2 linked regions of the Stegostoma tigrinum genome follow. The protein of the gene in region 1 binds, or shares a complex with, the protein of each later gene. Links are inferred from orthologs where the notes say so. Each region holds a gene or a part of one and is shown in the gene's direction. Other genes may lie near its edges.

What was found.
Region 2: the proteins of micall1a (region 1) and EH domain-containing protein 1 are in contact, whole or in part, in an NMR structure (PDB 2KSP), measured with the Homo sapiens proteins. The link is inferred for Stegostoma tigrinum from reciprocal best matches to the Homo sapiens genes MICALL1 and EHD1. Residues at the interface, in NP_203744.1 of Homo sapiens: Lys422, Tyr424, Asn425, Pro426, Phe427, Glu428, Glu429; in NP_001269373.1 of Homo sapiens: Gly464, Ala467, Lys468, Met471, Asn478, Leu481, Gly482, Trp485, Lys486, Lys492, Asp493, Gly494.

Annotation. Positions count from the first base shown.
Region 1 is NC_081391.1:1,643,098-1,650,942, forward strand, and holds the start of micall1a (MICAL-like protein 1), read left to right. Parts: upstream 1-4,771; 5' UTR 4,772-5,182; coding exon 5,183-5,322; intron 5,323-7,845. UniProt on the Homo sapiens protein: Lipid-binding protein with higher affinity for phosphatidic acid, a lipid enriched in recycling endosome membranes. On endosome membranes, acts as a downstream effector of Rab proteins recruiting cytosolic proteins to regulate membrane tubulation.
Region 2 is NC_081395.1:7,014,582-7,021,813, forward strand, and holds the start of EH domain-containing protein 1, read left to right. Parts: upstream 1-4,130; 5' UTR 4,131-4,178; coding exon 4,179-4,582; intron 4,583-7,232. UniProt on the Homo sapiens protein: ATP- and membrane-binding protein that controls membrane reorganization/tubulation upon ATP hydrolysis. In vitro causes vesiculation of endocytic membranes. Acts in early endocytic membrane fusion and membrane trafficking of recycling endosomes.

The DNA of each region.
Region 1 (7,845 bases):
AATGACAAACTGACAGGTGTGTAGTTTCCTGGGTTATCCTCTGCCCCTTTCTTAAACATGATGTTACATTTGCAATCCTCCAGCCTTCTGGGATTAATCCTTTGTTCAGAGAGATCTGGAAAATTTCTGTCAACAGCTCTGCAATTTTTCTCCCTTAATCCTCTCAGCAATCTAGTTTGCATCCCATCTGGGCCTGGTGACCTCTTTTACCTGGAGTGCTGCCAGCCTTTTTTGGAATCCCTTCTTTATCTATCACTATACTGCTCAGTTACTCAACGCTCACATTTTCAACTGAACCATTGTAACCATTTTCTAATTCGGCAAAGACAGAAGCAAAATATTAACTTAGCACCTCTGCCAACTTCTTTGCGTCAGTGAGTAATTGCCACTGCTTGTTACTTTTGGAACCCACTTTATCCTTCATTATCTTTCCCCATTTAATGTGTTTGTAGAACGTTTTAATGCAACCTGCCATCCTTTCCTCGTGCTTCCTTTTAGCCTTCTTTATTCCAGCCTATGCCTCTCTCTTGCATTTGAGATGCTCTTCCTGATTTCTGTTGCTATTATTATTTTCATATGCCTTTTTCTTTCTTATTTTTCTCATCAATATCCTTTAGTTATCCAAGGTACTCTAGCTTTGGATATCTTTGTATTTATTTTTCATGGGTATGCACCTGAGTTGCACCCAATTATTTCTTTTGAAATTTTCCCATTTTTCACCCACTGTTTCATCAACCAAAAAGCATTTCCAACCAACTTGCTCCAGTTCCACTTTCAGACCCCTAAAATTTGTTCTTTTTCTAGTCTTGGGGCATTAATCTCTTGACTGACTTTTATCGTTTTCGTATTTAATTGCTCGCTGAATCTGATGCTCTCCACTGCGATTTCCTCATTTTCTAGGACCAGATCCAGCATAGCTTCCTTCCCTAGTAGGGCTGGGAGATGAACTGTTCTAGAAAGCTTCAATTGCAAGAAATTCTCTGCTTCCATGGTCCTCATACTACCTTTTCCCCAGTCTACCCTGAGGTAATTGAAAACATCGAACATAACTCTCTATTCATCCTGCAAATTTCCATAATTTGCCTACAAATGCTTTCTCCTACTTCCTCCCCACTATTTGAGGATCTATAATAAATACACAACAAGGTCAATGCTCCCTTCCTGTTTCTCACCTCTAACTATACAGATTCTGATTTTGGAATTGCATCTCATTCAAGGGCAATGATACTATCTTCACCCAAAGCTGTAATACCTCTTCCCTTTTCACACACTTTGTTTCTACTAAAAGCCTTATAACCTGGGATATTAAATACCTATTCAGAGACAGTAGGAACTGCTGATGCTGGAGAATCTATTTATTTCAGAATCCCCTTCCCCACCCCCTTTTCTGAAGAAGGGTCCAGACCTGAAATGTCAGCTTTCCTGTTCCTCTGATGCTGTTTGGCCTGCTGTGTTCATCCTACTCTACACCTTGTTATCTCAGATTCTCCAACATCAGCAGTACCTACTATATGTGAATAAAAGACAGACATGTTTTCAGAAAACACTAAGTAATTCCACTCCTCACATCAGAGACGGCTGTACCTCTTTTGTTCTTACAGCTGATTCTGAAATTAATTTGACATGCATATTTCCATGACTACTTGTTGCTGTATTATGTTATTTGAGGATACAGAGGAAAGATGGGTAATTGCTAAATTGTATTTGGATACTTAAGTAGTGGAAAGTTGCTACTTTGGAAAATGCTTTGCTATATGCTTGCTCCTCTTGATTTTCTAGAAGTTTGTGTCTAAAAACAAATGCATTAGCTGTGAGAAAATGATAATTCTTGCTTTCTGAATTCTGGCATGACGTGTTAGTCCTTTTTTTTAAAAAAAAAATGCACATGATGTCCCTAAAGTTATCTGCACCAGGTTTACATATGAGCTTATCACAAACATTAAATTTCATTTCTTTTTGTTGGGTGAGAAACATCTGACATTTCACTTTGAGCAACTATGCGAGGTGTAGATATGGTAATGAGTAAAATATTATCAGCAAAACCACTTTGCTGATAAATACAGGAACTCTTGGAGATCAATCTTTCGATGTTTTTCAACGGAACATGTTTGTTATTTTTAATTGGGAGTTGTTGTCACTAGGGTAATCCAGATAGTAAGCACTTACCTATTGTAATCTTTTTATTTGCTTTTTTTTCCGACATTCCTATTCAAACAAGAAGCTGGAAGGATATGGAAGAGAGAGAACATGGGGAAATAAATAGCGACATCTTGAAAAATGTTCATATTACGGAGGAGGGTTGCTGGATGTCTTAAAACACGTTAAGGTGGATAGATCCCTGGGACCTGGTCAGGTGCACCCTAGAAATCTATGGGATCCTAGGGAAGTGATTGCTGAGACCCTTGCTGAGATATTTATATCATCGATAGCCACAGGTGAGGTGCTGGAAGCCTGGAGGTTGGCTAACATGGTGCTGCTAGTTAAGAAAGGTGGTAAGGAAAAGCCAGGGAACTACAAACTAGTGAGCCTGACATTGGTGGGCAAGTTGTTGGAGGTAATCCTGAAGGGCAAGATTTAAATGCATTTCGAAAGGCAAAGGCTGATTAGGGATAGTCAGCATAGCTTTGTACAGGGGGGAAATTGGGTCTCACTAACTTGATGGAGATTTTTTTGAAGAAGTAACATAGGATTGACGATGCAGAGCGGTGGATGTAATCTCTATGGACTTAGAACATTACAGCACAGTACAGGCCCTTCGGCCCTTGATGTTGTGCCGACCTGTCATACCGATCTGAAGCCCATCTAACCTAAACTATTCCATGTGCTTGTCCATATGCTGACTTAAATGTACTTAAAGTTGGCGAATCTACTACCGTTGCAGGCAAAGTGTTCCATTCCATTGCTACTCTGAGTAAAGAAACTACCCCTTACATCTGTCCTATATCTTTCACCCCTCAATTTAAAACTATGCCCCCTCGTGCTCGCTGTCACCATCCTAGGAAAAAAGCTCTCCCTATCCACCCTACCTAACCCTCTGATTATTTTATATGTCTCAATTAAATCACCCCTCAACCTTCTTCTCTCTAACGAAAACAGCCTCAAATCCCTCCACCTTTCCTCATAAGATCTTCCCTCCATACCAGGCAACATCCTAGTAAATCTCCTCTGCACCTTTTCCAAAGCTTCCACATCGGTTCCTCATGGTGGATTGGTTAGCAAGGTTATCACATGGAATACAGGGAGGACCACCCATTTGGATACAGAACTGGCTCAGAAGTTGAAGGCAGAGGGAGCCAGTGGAGGGTTGTGTGGCTCAGATGGGGATCTTTCAGGTGGTGGCATTCCTATGCATCTACTGCCCTTTCAGGCAGTTGTGATTGTGGGTTTGAAAGATGTTATCTGGGGACTGTTGGTGAATTTCTGCAGTGCAACTTGCAGATGGTATGTACTGCTGCTAATGAGGAGTGGATGCTTGTGGATGAACTGCCAATCAAGAAACAATTTTTCCTGGATAGTATTGAGCTTTTTGAATGTGGTAGGAGTTACTTTCTTCCAGGCAAGTGGGAACTATTCCACCCTCTCTTGTAGATAGTGAATGAGATCTGGAGAGTCAGGAAGGGAGTTACTCATGACAGTATTCCTAGCCTGTAGCCCATTCTTGTGGTTACAAATCTTTACATGGCTACTCCAGTTAAGTTTGAGTTCAGTTTAGTAACCCCCAGGATGTGACTAGTGGTGGTTTCAGTGATGGTAATGCCATTGAACGTCAAGGGTTGAAGTTGGATTGTTTCTTACTGGAGATGGTCATTGTCATTTGTTTGGCATAAATCATATTTGCCACTTTTCAACCCAAGCCTGGATCTTGTCGCATTTGAATATGGACTGCTTCAGTACCTGAGTCAAATGGTTTTGAACATTGGTAAACATCCCCACTTCTGACCTTTTTGATGGAGGGAAGATCATTGGTGAAGCAGCTGAAGATGGTTGGGGCATGGAACACTACCCTGAGGAACTCCTGCAGAGGTGTCCTGGAGCTGAGATGACTGACCCCTAACAACCTCAATGATCTTCACATGTGCCAGGTATGTCTCTAATCAGTGGAGAGCTTGCCCCCATACATACTGATTTCAGTTTTGCTAGGGTTTCTTAATACCACACAATCAAATGTGACCTTGAGGTCAAGGGCTGTCACTCACATCACCTCTGGAATTCAGCTCTTTTGGCTGTCACGGGGTTACGGACCGCGTGACCCTGGAGCAACCCAAACTGGGCATCACTGAGCAGGATTTTGCTGAGCTGGTGCAGCTTGATAGCACTGTTGTTGACACCATCCATCACTTTACAGATGATTGAGAGTAGACTAATAGGGCAGTAATAATGCAGTTGGATTAGTGCAGGTAAGAAACTAAAGAACTGCAGATGCTGTAAATCAGGAAACAAAACATATTGCTGTAAAAGCTCAGCATGTCTGGCAGCATCTGAAGGAGAAAACAGAGTTAGTGTTTCAGGTCTAGTAAGCTCTAAGTTCTGAGGAAGGGTAACCGGACCTGAAACGTTAACTCTGTTTTCTCCCTCACACCTGCCGAGCTTTTCCACCAATTTTTGTTTTTCTTCCTGATTTACAGCATCCACTTTTTCTGGATTTTATGCAGTTCCACTGGTGGCCATAGTGGGCGCTCTGTGTCGGTGTGCAGTTTCCTTCCGGTGGCCGCAGTAGGCGCGCCGTGTCGGTGTGCGATTCCCCTGTTGACCAGAGTGGGCGCGCTGTGTAGCCATCCAGTTCCCCTTGTGGCCTTAGGAGGCGCGCTGTGTCGGGATGCATTAACAGAGATGATAAGAGTTGGAGAATCTGAGATAACAAAGTGTAGAGCTGGATGAATACAGCAGGCCAAGCAGCATCAGAGGAGCAGGAAAGCTGACGTTTCAGGCCCAGACCTTAGGGATCGATGCAGGGCCCGAAACGTCAGCTTTTGTGCTCCTCTAAGATACTGCTTGGCCCCACACTGTTACCTTGGATTCTCCAGCGTCTGCAGATCCCATTATCTCGGACCGATGCAGTCCCCCTGGTGGTCGGAGGGGGCGCGCTGTGTCGCGCTGCAGTACCCTGGGCGTCTGTAGGGGGCGCAGTAGGCGGAACAGGAGTGTCGAGGAGCGGAAGTGGCGGGTGTCTGGAGCCGCTCCCATGGCGACCCGAGCGCTGCAGGAATGGGCCCGTCTACAGGTGTTGGGATACCCGGGGGTCGAGGTGACGAACATGAGCTCGAGCTTCAGGGACGGGCTTGCCTTTTGTGCCATCATCCACCGGCACCGCCCTGAGCTGATGTGAGTGTCTGGGGAGGCCGTGCAGGGAGGGTCTCTTCCCCCGCCCCAGCCCTGAGGTGAAGAAGTACAGGGCTCTCTACCCCAGCCCTGAGTGACCATGGGGTACCTGGTCAGGGAGAGTATCCCCTAGGGGAGTTCTCGGTACAGTGTTTCACCCAGCATGGAGAGTGGAGTGAGAAAGACGGGGCTTCGGGACCCTGAACTGTTCCTTCATCTCTTCTGGCTGTAAGCTGGCTTGTTGGTCCCTGTTGGAACTGCTCCGGCCTGGACAGAGCTGGGCAAAGTGAGCACCCAGTCTCACCCCGTGCCACGTTCTCCTTGGCCCAGGGCATGCTTCTAGAGTAGCACAGAACAGCAGGGATCAGAATAACTGACTGCTGAAGTGTAAATTTTTCAGTTACGTGGATTGGCCATGCTAAATTGCCCCATAGAGTCCCGGCTAGCTGGATTAGCCACAAGGTAAATGTGGTGTTACAGGGATGGGGGTGGGAAGGTGGATCTAGCGGGAAGGTGGATCTAGCGGGATGTTCTTTGGGGGATCACAGCAGACGCAGTGGGATGAATGGAGATCAGAGCTAATGGGAACTGCAGATGCTGGAGAATCCAGGATAACAAAGTGTGGAGCTGGATGAACACAGCAGGCCAAGCAGCATCTCGGGAGCACAAAAGCTGATGTTTCGGGCCTAGACCCTTCATCGGAGAGGGGGATGGGAAGAGGATTCCGAAATAAATACGGAGAGAGGGAGAGGCGGACCGATGATGGATAGAGGAGAAGATAGGTGGAGAGTATAGGTATGGAGGGGGTAGGTCAGTCCAGGGAGGATGGAAAGGTCAAGGAGGTGGGATGAGGTTGGTAGGTGAGAAATGGAGGTGCAGCTTGAGGTGGGAGGAGGGGATGGGTGAGAGGAAGAACAGGTTAGGGAAGCGGGAATGAGCTGGGCTGGTTTTGGGATGTAGTGGGGGAGGGGGAGATCTTGAAGCTTGTGAAGTCCACATTGATACCATCAGGCTGCAGGGTTCCCAAGCGGAATATAGGTTGCTGTTCCTGCAACCTTCGGGTGGCATCATTGTGCCATTGCAGGAGGCCCAGGATGGACATGTCATCGAAGGAATGGGAGGGGGAGTTAAAATGGTTTGCGACTGGGAGGTGCAGTTGTTCATTGTGAACCAAGCGGAGGTGTTCTGCAAAGTGGTCCCCAAGCCTCCGCTTGGTTTCCCCAACATAGTGGAAGCCACACCGTGTACAGTGGATACAGTATACTACATTGGCAGATGTGCAGGTGAACATCTGCTTGATGTGGAAAGTCATCTTTGGGCCTGGGTTGGAGATGATGGAGGTGGTGTGGGGGCAAGTGTAGCACTTCCTGCGGTTGCAGGGGAAGGTGCCAGGTGTGGTAGGGTTGAAGGGGAGTTTGGAGCGAACAAGGGAGTCACGAAGAGAGTTGTCTCTCCGGAATGCAGACAAGGGTGGGGATGGGGTTGGTGGGGTTGGATTGTAGAATGCAGAAGTGTCTGAGGATAATGCATTGTATCCAGAGATTGGTGGGGTGGTATGTGAGGATGAGGGGGATTCTTTTAGAGCGGTTATTGCGGGGGCGGGGTGAGTTATGTGTTGCAGGAAATGCGGGAGACACAGTTTAGGGCGTTCTTGACTTCTCTTTGGGGGTGGGGGGGCCAAGGAGTTGCGGTCCTTGAAGAACGTGGCCATCTGGGATGTGCGGGAGTGGAATGCCTCATCCTGGGAGCAGATGCGGCAGAGGCGAAGGAATTTTTGCAGGGGGGTGGGTGGGCGGGCGGTCGGAGGTGTATCCTAGGTAGCTGTGGGAGTCGGTGAGCTGGATGAATGGCCTCTTTCTGAACTGTAGGGATTCTATGATAAAAGGAGTCATTACATTATGCCTGGAATAAGAACATATAAAATAGGAACAGCGTAGCTGTTGGGCTTTCGAGCCTACTCCATCATTCAGTAAGATCATGGCTAATCTGTTTCTGTTCCAAATCTCAATTTACCCCTGACAAACCTTGATTTTCCAGTCTAATAAGAATCCCATCCCACTTCTGCCTTAAAAATATTCAGTGATGTCCTCCCACTGCCTTCTGAGGCAGATAGTTCCAAAGTTTCTCAACTTTCAGAGAGTAAATTTCCCCTCATCTGTCCTAAGAGGATGACCTTAATTTTATAGCAGTACACCATAATTCAGGACTCATGCACAAAAGTAAACTTTTCTACATCCACCTCATTGACACCATTCAAGATCTTGTTTACTTTGATTTTGATTTGATTTATTGTTGTCACAGTACCCGAGATCATGGCATACAACCTGTATGTGGTTGTAGGGTGTTTAGACAGAGCAAGGCACACAAGGTTACAGCTGCACAGGAGGTGTACAAAGCAGAATCAGCATTAGTTTTTTAATTGGAGAGGTCCATTCAGCAGTCTAATAACAGCAGGGAAAAAGCTGTTCTTGAACCTTTGTTACACATGTTCAATCAAATCACCCCTCACTTCTACCTCCAGTGGAA
Region 2 (7,232 bases), on another chromosome or scaffold:
CTTAAACGCATGTATTAGACGTTTCAACCCTATCTACGTATCTCATCATTTTATAGACTTCTATCAAGTCTCCGCGCAGCCTCCACCGCTCCAGAGAAAACAACCTGAGTTTTTCCAGGATCTCCTTATAGTTCACACCCTCTAACCCAGGCAGAATCCTGGTAAACCCCTTCTGCACTCTCTCCCCAAAGCCCCCACATCCTTCCTGTAACGTGGCGAACAGAATTGAACACAATTCTCTAAGTGCGGCCGAACCAAAGTCTTTCCAAGCAGCAACATGACGTCCTGACTCTTGTACTCAATTCCCCGACCAATAAAAGTGAGCATGCCATACGCCTTCTTTACCACCCTATCTACTAGGGCGGCCACTTTCAGGGAGCTACCGACTTGAACCCCAAGATCCTTCTGTACATCAATGCTGTTCAGGGTTAACTATATACTTTACTTTAACATTTGGTCTCCCAAAGTGCAGCACCTCACACTTGCCCCCGTTAAACTCCATCTGCCATTTTCCCACCCTTACCTGCAACTGAGCTACATCCTGCTGTATCCTTTGACAAACTTCTGCACTATCCTGAACTCCTCCGAATTTTGTATCATCTGCAAACTTACTAACTCACCCATCTACATTTTCATCTACTTCATTTATATCACGAACAGCAGAGGTCCCAGTACGAATCCCTGCAGAACACCGCTAGTCAATGGATCTTCAGCTTGAGAAACACCCTTCCACCAATACCCTCGGTCTTCTACGGTCAAGCCAAATCTGAATCCATGTGGCCATGTGGGTCCCATTAATTTTAATCTTCTGGATGAGCCAACCATGAGGGACCTTGACGAAAGCCTGACTGAAATCCATGCAGCTGACATCAACAGCTCCACCCTCATTGATCACCTTTGGGCCCTCCTCAAAAAATTCAATCAAGTTAGTTCGACATGATCTGCCCTTTCAAAGCCACACTGACTCTCTATAACAAGGCCATGCTTTTTCAAATGCGTGTAAATCCCATCCTAAAGAATACATTCTTATAGCTTCCCAACCACTGACCGAAACGTCAGCTTTTGTGCTCCTAAGATGCTGCTTGGCCTGCTGTGTTCATCCAGCTCCACACCTTGTTATCTGGGATTCTCCAGCATCTGCAGTTCCCATTCTCACTGATGAGAAACTCACTGGGCTATAGGTTCCTGGATCATCCCCATTTCCCTTCTTGAACAGAAAAACAACATTAGCTACTCTCCAATCCTCTGAGACTTCTCCATTAGCTAGCGAGGATAAAGAGATCTTGCAATCTACTTTTATATTACTAGCTCGCTTACCCTCATATTCTCCCGTCTTGTTACTTTATTTTAGCTTATCCTCTACTGCTGTTTGAAGGCTTCTCAATCCTCTGGCCTTCCACCAATCTTCACCACATTATATGCCTTGTCTTTTGCTCCTGAAGTGGTTGTGTCGTAGGCCCTCAGTTCCATTGCAATCAGCCTGGTAGAACATGATCCAGTTTTTCAGATTCACAAGTTTGTCAGACATGCTGGTATTTGGAAACTCTATCAAGTTACTAGGAACATTGACTGAGAACAGAATTTCAGCAGCAAGACATGTAGCTTTCCTTCCTGAATCTGGAGGCTGCCAACGGAATTCTAAGTCCAGAAAGGATTGCTAGACAATACATATTCCCCCCCACCGCCCCACCTTTAGTCTTTTCAAAACCAGGTTTTCCCAGTAATTAAGGCAATAAACCCATATTTTATCTCCTTAAAAGCTTTGCTCGGCTGTTTTCTCCAAAGTTATTTGACTTTGCTGCAAGCGGTGGTTGACTTACAACACACATTATTGTTAACTTCACTTCGCAGTGAAACCCTGTTTAACCCAGAAAATGTCCAAACTACACTATACTTCGCAATTTTTCCACACAATCCTTGAATATTCTGTCTAGATTCTCAATGGTTTACATCTCGTTGCACAAAAACATCCAAAAAGGTTTAAAACAACATTCCCATTTTTGTTTCAACTTCATCTGAGTATCAATATAAAGTTTTTTTTGAAAAAGAGCTGCATTAATTGCTATAAACTTATTAAGTTGGGATAAATTCCTATTGCTGCTCTGAGCCTGTTAAACCTGAGAGGTGATGATGATTGAAGACCACATGAAAGGAGGATGGGGGAGAACAGTCACATGGTGGTGGGTGATGTCTCGCAAGTGAGTTTAGGAACATGACTTATCCCCACTGGATAGTCAACATCTACTGAAGAAAGCAGAAGGGAGGCTGGGGTTGGAGGAAGCAGCTGTGCACAGCAGTGAATAGATCAAAGCACAGGCCAGACCCCAACCTGTGTGCAGTGTATCTAAGAGATATGATGCGTGCCTGCAGAGAGACACACAGACCTGTACTCCCTCAATGGCCTTCCTTAAATAAGGAGAGCAGAACTGTGCTTGATACTCCAGGAGCAGGTGGTACATGGGGGCTCTGACCTGAACTCATCATTAGGTGGTGACTGGGATTGGGACCACAAGAGTGGGAGTCAGCCATTCAGCACCTCGAACCTGCTCCATCATTCAGCGTGAATGATTTTCTGCCTTGGTGCTATTTTCCCCACACCATTCCTTGATAACCTTATCTTGAACAAGCTCAAAGACAGAGCCTCCGCTGCCCTCTGAGGCAGAGAATTCCAAAGAGTCCCCAGCCTCTGAATGAAGAAATCCTTAATCCAAAATGGCCAATCTTTTATCCTGAGTCTGTGTGTCTCCTGGTTCAAGAAGACCTAGGGGAACGTCCTTCCTACGTACCCCCTGGCGAGCCCTGTCACAATTTTAGTATCCTTCGATAAGGTCACCTTTCACTCTTCTGAACTCCAGATAATCCCAGCCTGGTCTCCTCAATCTCTTCTCGTGAGACAATCTCATCATCCCAGGGATGAGGAACCTCTGCCACACTCTCTCAATGGCCTTCCTTAAATATGGTGAGTAGAACCGTACTTGATACTCCAGGAGCAGACCAACGGAAGCTTTATGCAAATGCAGCAAGATACTCCCTGCTCCAGTCCTAACACAGTTATGATTGACATACATTGCCCTCCCAAATTGGTCACCATACATTGATGCCTGTTGTTACTGACTCAGGGTAGAGGTTACCCATCTAGATTGGACAGAAGGTCACACTTTGGATATTGCCATGACTACAGAGTTGGGAATTAGGAATGGGCCACTCAGCCCTTCTAGCCCATGTCGCCACAACATGGCAGACAATGTCATTTCGGGGACATAAATCCTTGGCTTGCTCTTCCCAACCTCCTTGCACTTAAGAGGCATTCTCCAATGGATTTTGATGTTGAAGTTCTCTCTCTGCACCCACTCACCAATCTCCCTCCATGGTCCACCAACCACCATCGTGATCCACCCATTCCATGGGCCTGGAACTAGGACACACCCACAAAGTGGGTGTGACCACAGGAAGACACACCCTCGTGTGGGCGTGATCACAGGAGAGCACCCACAATTGGGCGGGATCACAGATGGCACACCCTCAGTTGGGCGGGGCGAGGAGAACACCTACGTGTGGGTGGGACCGCGAGATGACACGTCCTTGAATGGGCGGGGCTGCAACGTGACACCCCTTCACACGGCTGGGCGGGGCGGAGTGGGCGCGTCCGAGACGGCTGGAGCATAAGTGGGCGGTGCTTTAACATGACACCGCCAACAGGTGGGCGTGGCGGAGTGGTGACACGCCCACGGGTGGGCGAGGCTGTGGCAACGCTGGAGCGTGGGACACGCCCACAGGTTTAATCGCCCTCCCACAAACCGACAGTGATTGGAAAGATAATAAAATGTGAGGCTGGATGAACACAGCAGGCCAAGCAGCATCTCAGGAGCACAAAAGCTGACGTTTCGGGCCTAGACCCTTCATCAGAGTGATTGGAAAGGGCGAGGCTTTGAGACCCGGTGGGCGTGTCTGAAATCCGAACACGCCCACCAGACGGGCGGGGACGGATTCACCATCGGGCAGCGTCGTGAGATGACGTAGGCTTCGCGTGGCGTTGACGGCGCGGGCCTCGCGAGATCCTTCCCGCCCCTCCGACGGCCCCGTATTTAAGGGGGAGCGCGCAGGCGCGGCGGCTCCAGTAGTGGCGGTTGGCGGCGGCGGGTGGGTGTGTTGTAGAGGGGGCAGGGCCGGCTTTTGCTATGTTCAGCTGGATGGGGAAGGACGCGCGGCGCAAGAAGGAGCCCGAGCTCTTCCAGACGGTGAGCGACGGCCTCAAGCGGCTGTACTCACAGAAGCTGCTGCCGCTGGAGGAGAGCTACCGGTTCCATGACTTCCACTCGCCCGCCCTGGAGGAGGCCGACTTCGACAACAAGCCCATGGTGCTGCTGGTCGGCCAGTACTCGACCGGCAAGACCACCTTCATCCGGCACCTGATCGAGCAGGACTTCCCCGGCATGAGGATCGGGCCCGAGCCCACCACCGACTCCTTCATCGCCGTCATGCACGGCGAGCAGGACGGGGTGGTGCCCGGTAACGCGCTGGTCGTCGACCCCAAGAAGCCCTTTAGGAAACTCAACGCCTTCGGCAACGCCTTCCTCAACAGGTAACGGCCCTCAGCGGCCCCCCCCCCCCCCCCCGGGTCCCTGTCCAGTCCCTTATCACCCCCCGGGGTCCCTGTCCAATCCCTTATCCCCACACCACCCCCCCCCCCCCCCGGGGTCCCTGTCCAGTCCCTTTCTCTTCTCTTCCCCCCCCCCCATCTGCCCTCCCCCTCAATCCTCCAAAGCCTCTTCCCCTCCCCCACAGCCACTTTCCTCCCCCTTCCTCCTCCTCCTCGCTCCCCCTCTCTCTTCCCCCCCTCCTCCTCGCTCCCCCTCTCTCTTCCCCCCCTCCTCCTCGCTCCCCCTCTCTCTTCCCCCCCTCCTCCTCGCTCCCCCTCTCTCTTCCCCCCCTCCTCCTCGCTCCCCCTCTCTCTTCCCCCCCTCCTCCTCGCTCCCCCTCTCTCTTCCCCCCCTCCTCCTCGCTCCCCCTCTCTTCCCCCCGCTCCCCCTCGCTCCCCCTCTCTCTTCCCCCCCGCTCCTCCTCGCTCCCCCTCGCTCCCCCTCTCTCTTCCCCCCCGCTCCTCCTCGCTCCCCCTCGCTCCCCCTCTCTCTTCCCCCCCGCTCCTCCTCGCTCCCCCTCTCTCTTCCCCCCCGCTCCTCCTCGCTCCCCCTCTCTCTTCCCCCCCCGCTCCTCCTCGCTCCCCCCCGCTCCTCCTCGCTCCCCCCCGCTCCTCCTCGCTCCCCCCCGCTCCTCCTCGCTCCTCCTCGCTCCCCCCCGCTCCCCCCCGCTCCCCCCCGCTCCCCCCCGCTCCCCCCCGCTCCCCCCCGCTCCCCCCCGCTCCCCCCCGCTCCCCCCCGCTCCCCCCCGCTCCCCCCCGCTCCTCCTCGCTCCCCCCCGCTCCTCCTCGCTCCCCCCCGCTCCTCCTCGCTCCCCCCCGCTCCTCCTCGCTCCCCCCCGCTCCTCCTCGCTCCCCCCCGCTCCTCCTCGCTCCCCCCCGCTCCTCCTCGCTCCCCCTCTCTCTTCCCCCCCGCTCCTCCTCGCTCCCCCTCTCTCTTCCCCCCCCCGCTCCTCCTCGCTCCCCCCCGCTCCTCCTCGCTCCCCCCCGCTCCTCCTCGCTCCCCCCCGCTCCTCCTCGCTCCCCCCCGCTCCTCCTCGCTCCCCCCCGCTCCCCCTCGCTCCCCCCCCCGCTCCTCCTCGCTCCCCCCCCGCTCCTCCTCGCTCCCCCCCGCTCCTCCTCGCTCCCCCCCGCTCCTCCTCGCTCCCCCCCGCTCCTCCTCGCTCCCCCCCGCTCCTCCTCGCTCCTCCTCGCTCCCCCCCGCTCCTCCTCGCTCCTCCTCGCTCCTCCTCGCTCCTCCTCGCTCCTCCTCGCTCCCCCTCGCTCCCCCTCGCTCCCCCTCGCTCCCCCTCGCTCCCCCTCGCTCCCCCTCGCTCCCCCTCGCTCCCCCTCGCTCCCCCCCGCTCCCCCCGCTCCCCCCCGCTCCCCCCCGCTCCCCCCCGCTCCCCCCCGCTCCCCCCCGCTCCCCCCCGCTCCCCCCCGCTCCCCCCCGCTCCCCCCCGCTCCCCCCCGCTCCCCCCCGCTCCCCCCCCGCTCCCCCCCGCTCCCCCCCGCTCCCCCCCGCTCCCCCCCGCTCCCCCCCGCTCCCCCCCGCTCCCCCTCGCTCCCCCTCTCTCTTCCCCCCCGCTCCTCCTCGCTCCCCCTCTCTCTTCCCCCCCGCTCCTCCTCGCTCCCCCTCTCTCTTCCCCCCCGCTCCTCCTCGCTCCCCCTCTCTCTTCCCCCCCCGCTCCTCCTCGCTCCCCCTCTCTTCCCCCCCCGCTCCTCCTCGCTCCCCCTCTCTTCCCCCCCCGCTCCTCCTCGCTCCCCCTCTCTTCCCCCCCGCTCCTCCTCGCTCCCCCTCTCTCTTCCCCCCCGCTCCTCCTCGCTCCCCCTCTCTCTTCCCCCCCGCTCCTCCTCGCTCCCCCTCTCTCTTCCCCCCCGCTCCTCCTCGCTCCCCCTCTCTCTTCCCCCCCGCTCCTCCTCGCTCCCCCTCTCTCTTCCCCCCCGCTCCTCCTCGCTCCCCCTCTCTCTTCCCCCCCGCTCCTCCTCGCTCCCCCTCTCTCTTCCCCCCCGCTCCTCCTCGCTCCCCCTCTCTCTTCCCCCCCGCTCCTCCTCGCTCCCCCTCTCTCTTCCCCCCCGCTCCTCCTCGCTCCCCCTCTCTCTTCCCCCCGCTCCTCCTCGCTCCCCCTCTCTCTTCCCCCCGCTCCTCCTCGCTCCCCCTCTCTCTTCCCCCCGCTCCTCCTCGCTCCCCCTTTCTCTTCCCCCCCGCTCCTCCTCGCTCCCCCTTTCTCTTCCCCCCCGCTCCTCCTCGCTCCCCCTTTCTCTTCCCCCCCGCTCCTCCTCGCTCCCCCTTTCTCTTCCCCCCCGCTCCTCCTCGCTCCCCCTCTCTCTTCCCCCCCCGCTCCTCCTCGCTCCCCCTCTCTCTTCCCCCCCGCTCCTCCTCGCTCCCCCTCTCTCTTCCCCCCCGCTCCTCCTCGCTCCCCCTCTCTCTTCCCCCCCGCTCCTCCTCGCTCCCCCTCTCTCTTCCCCCCCCGCTCCTCCTCGCTCCCCCTCTCTCTTCCCCCCCGCTCCTCCTCGCTCCCCCTCTCTCTTCCCCCCCGCTCCTCCTCGCTCCCCCTCTCTCTTCCCCCCCCGCTCCTCCTCGCTCCCCCTCTCTCTTCCCCCCCCGCTCCTCCTC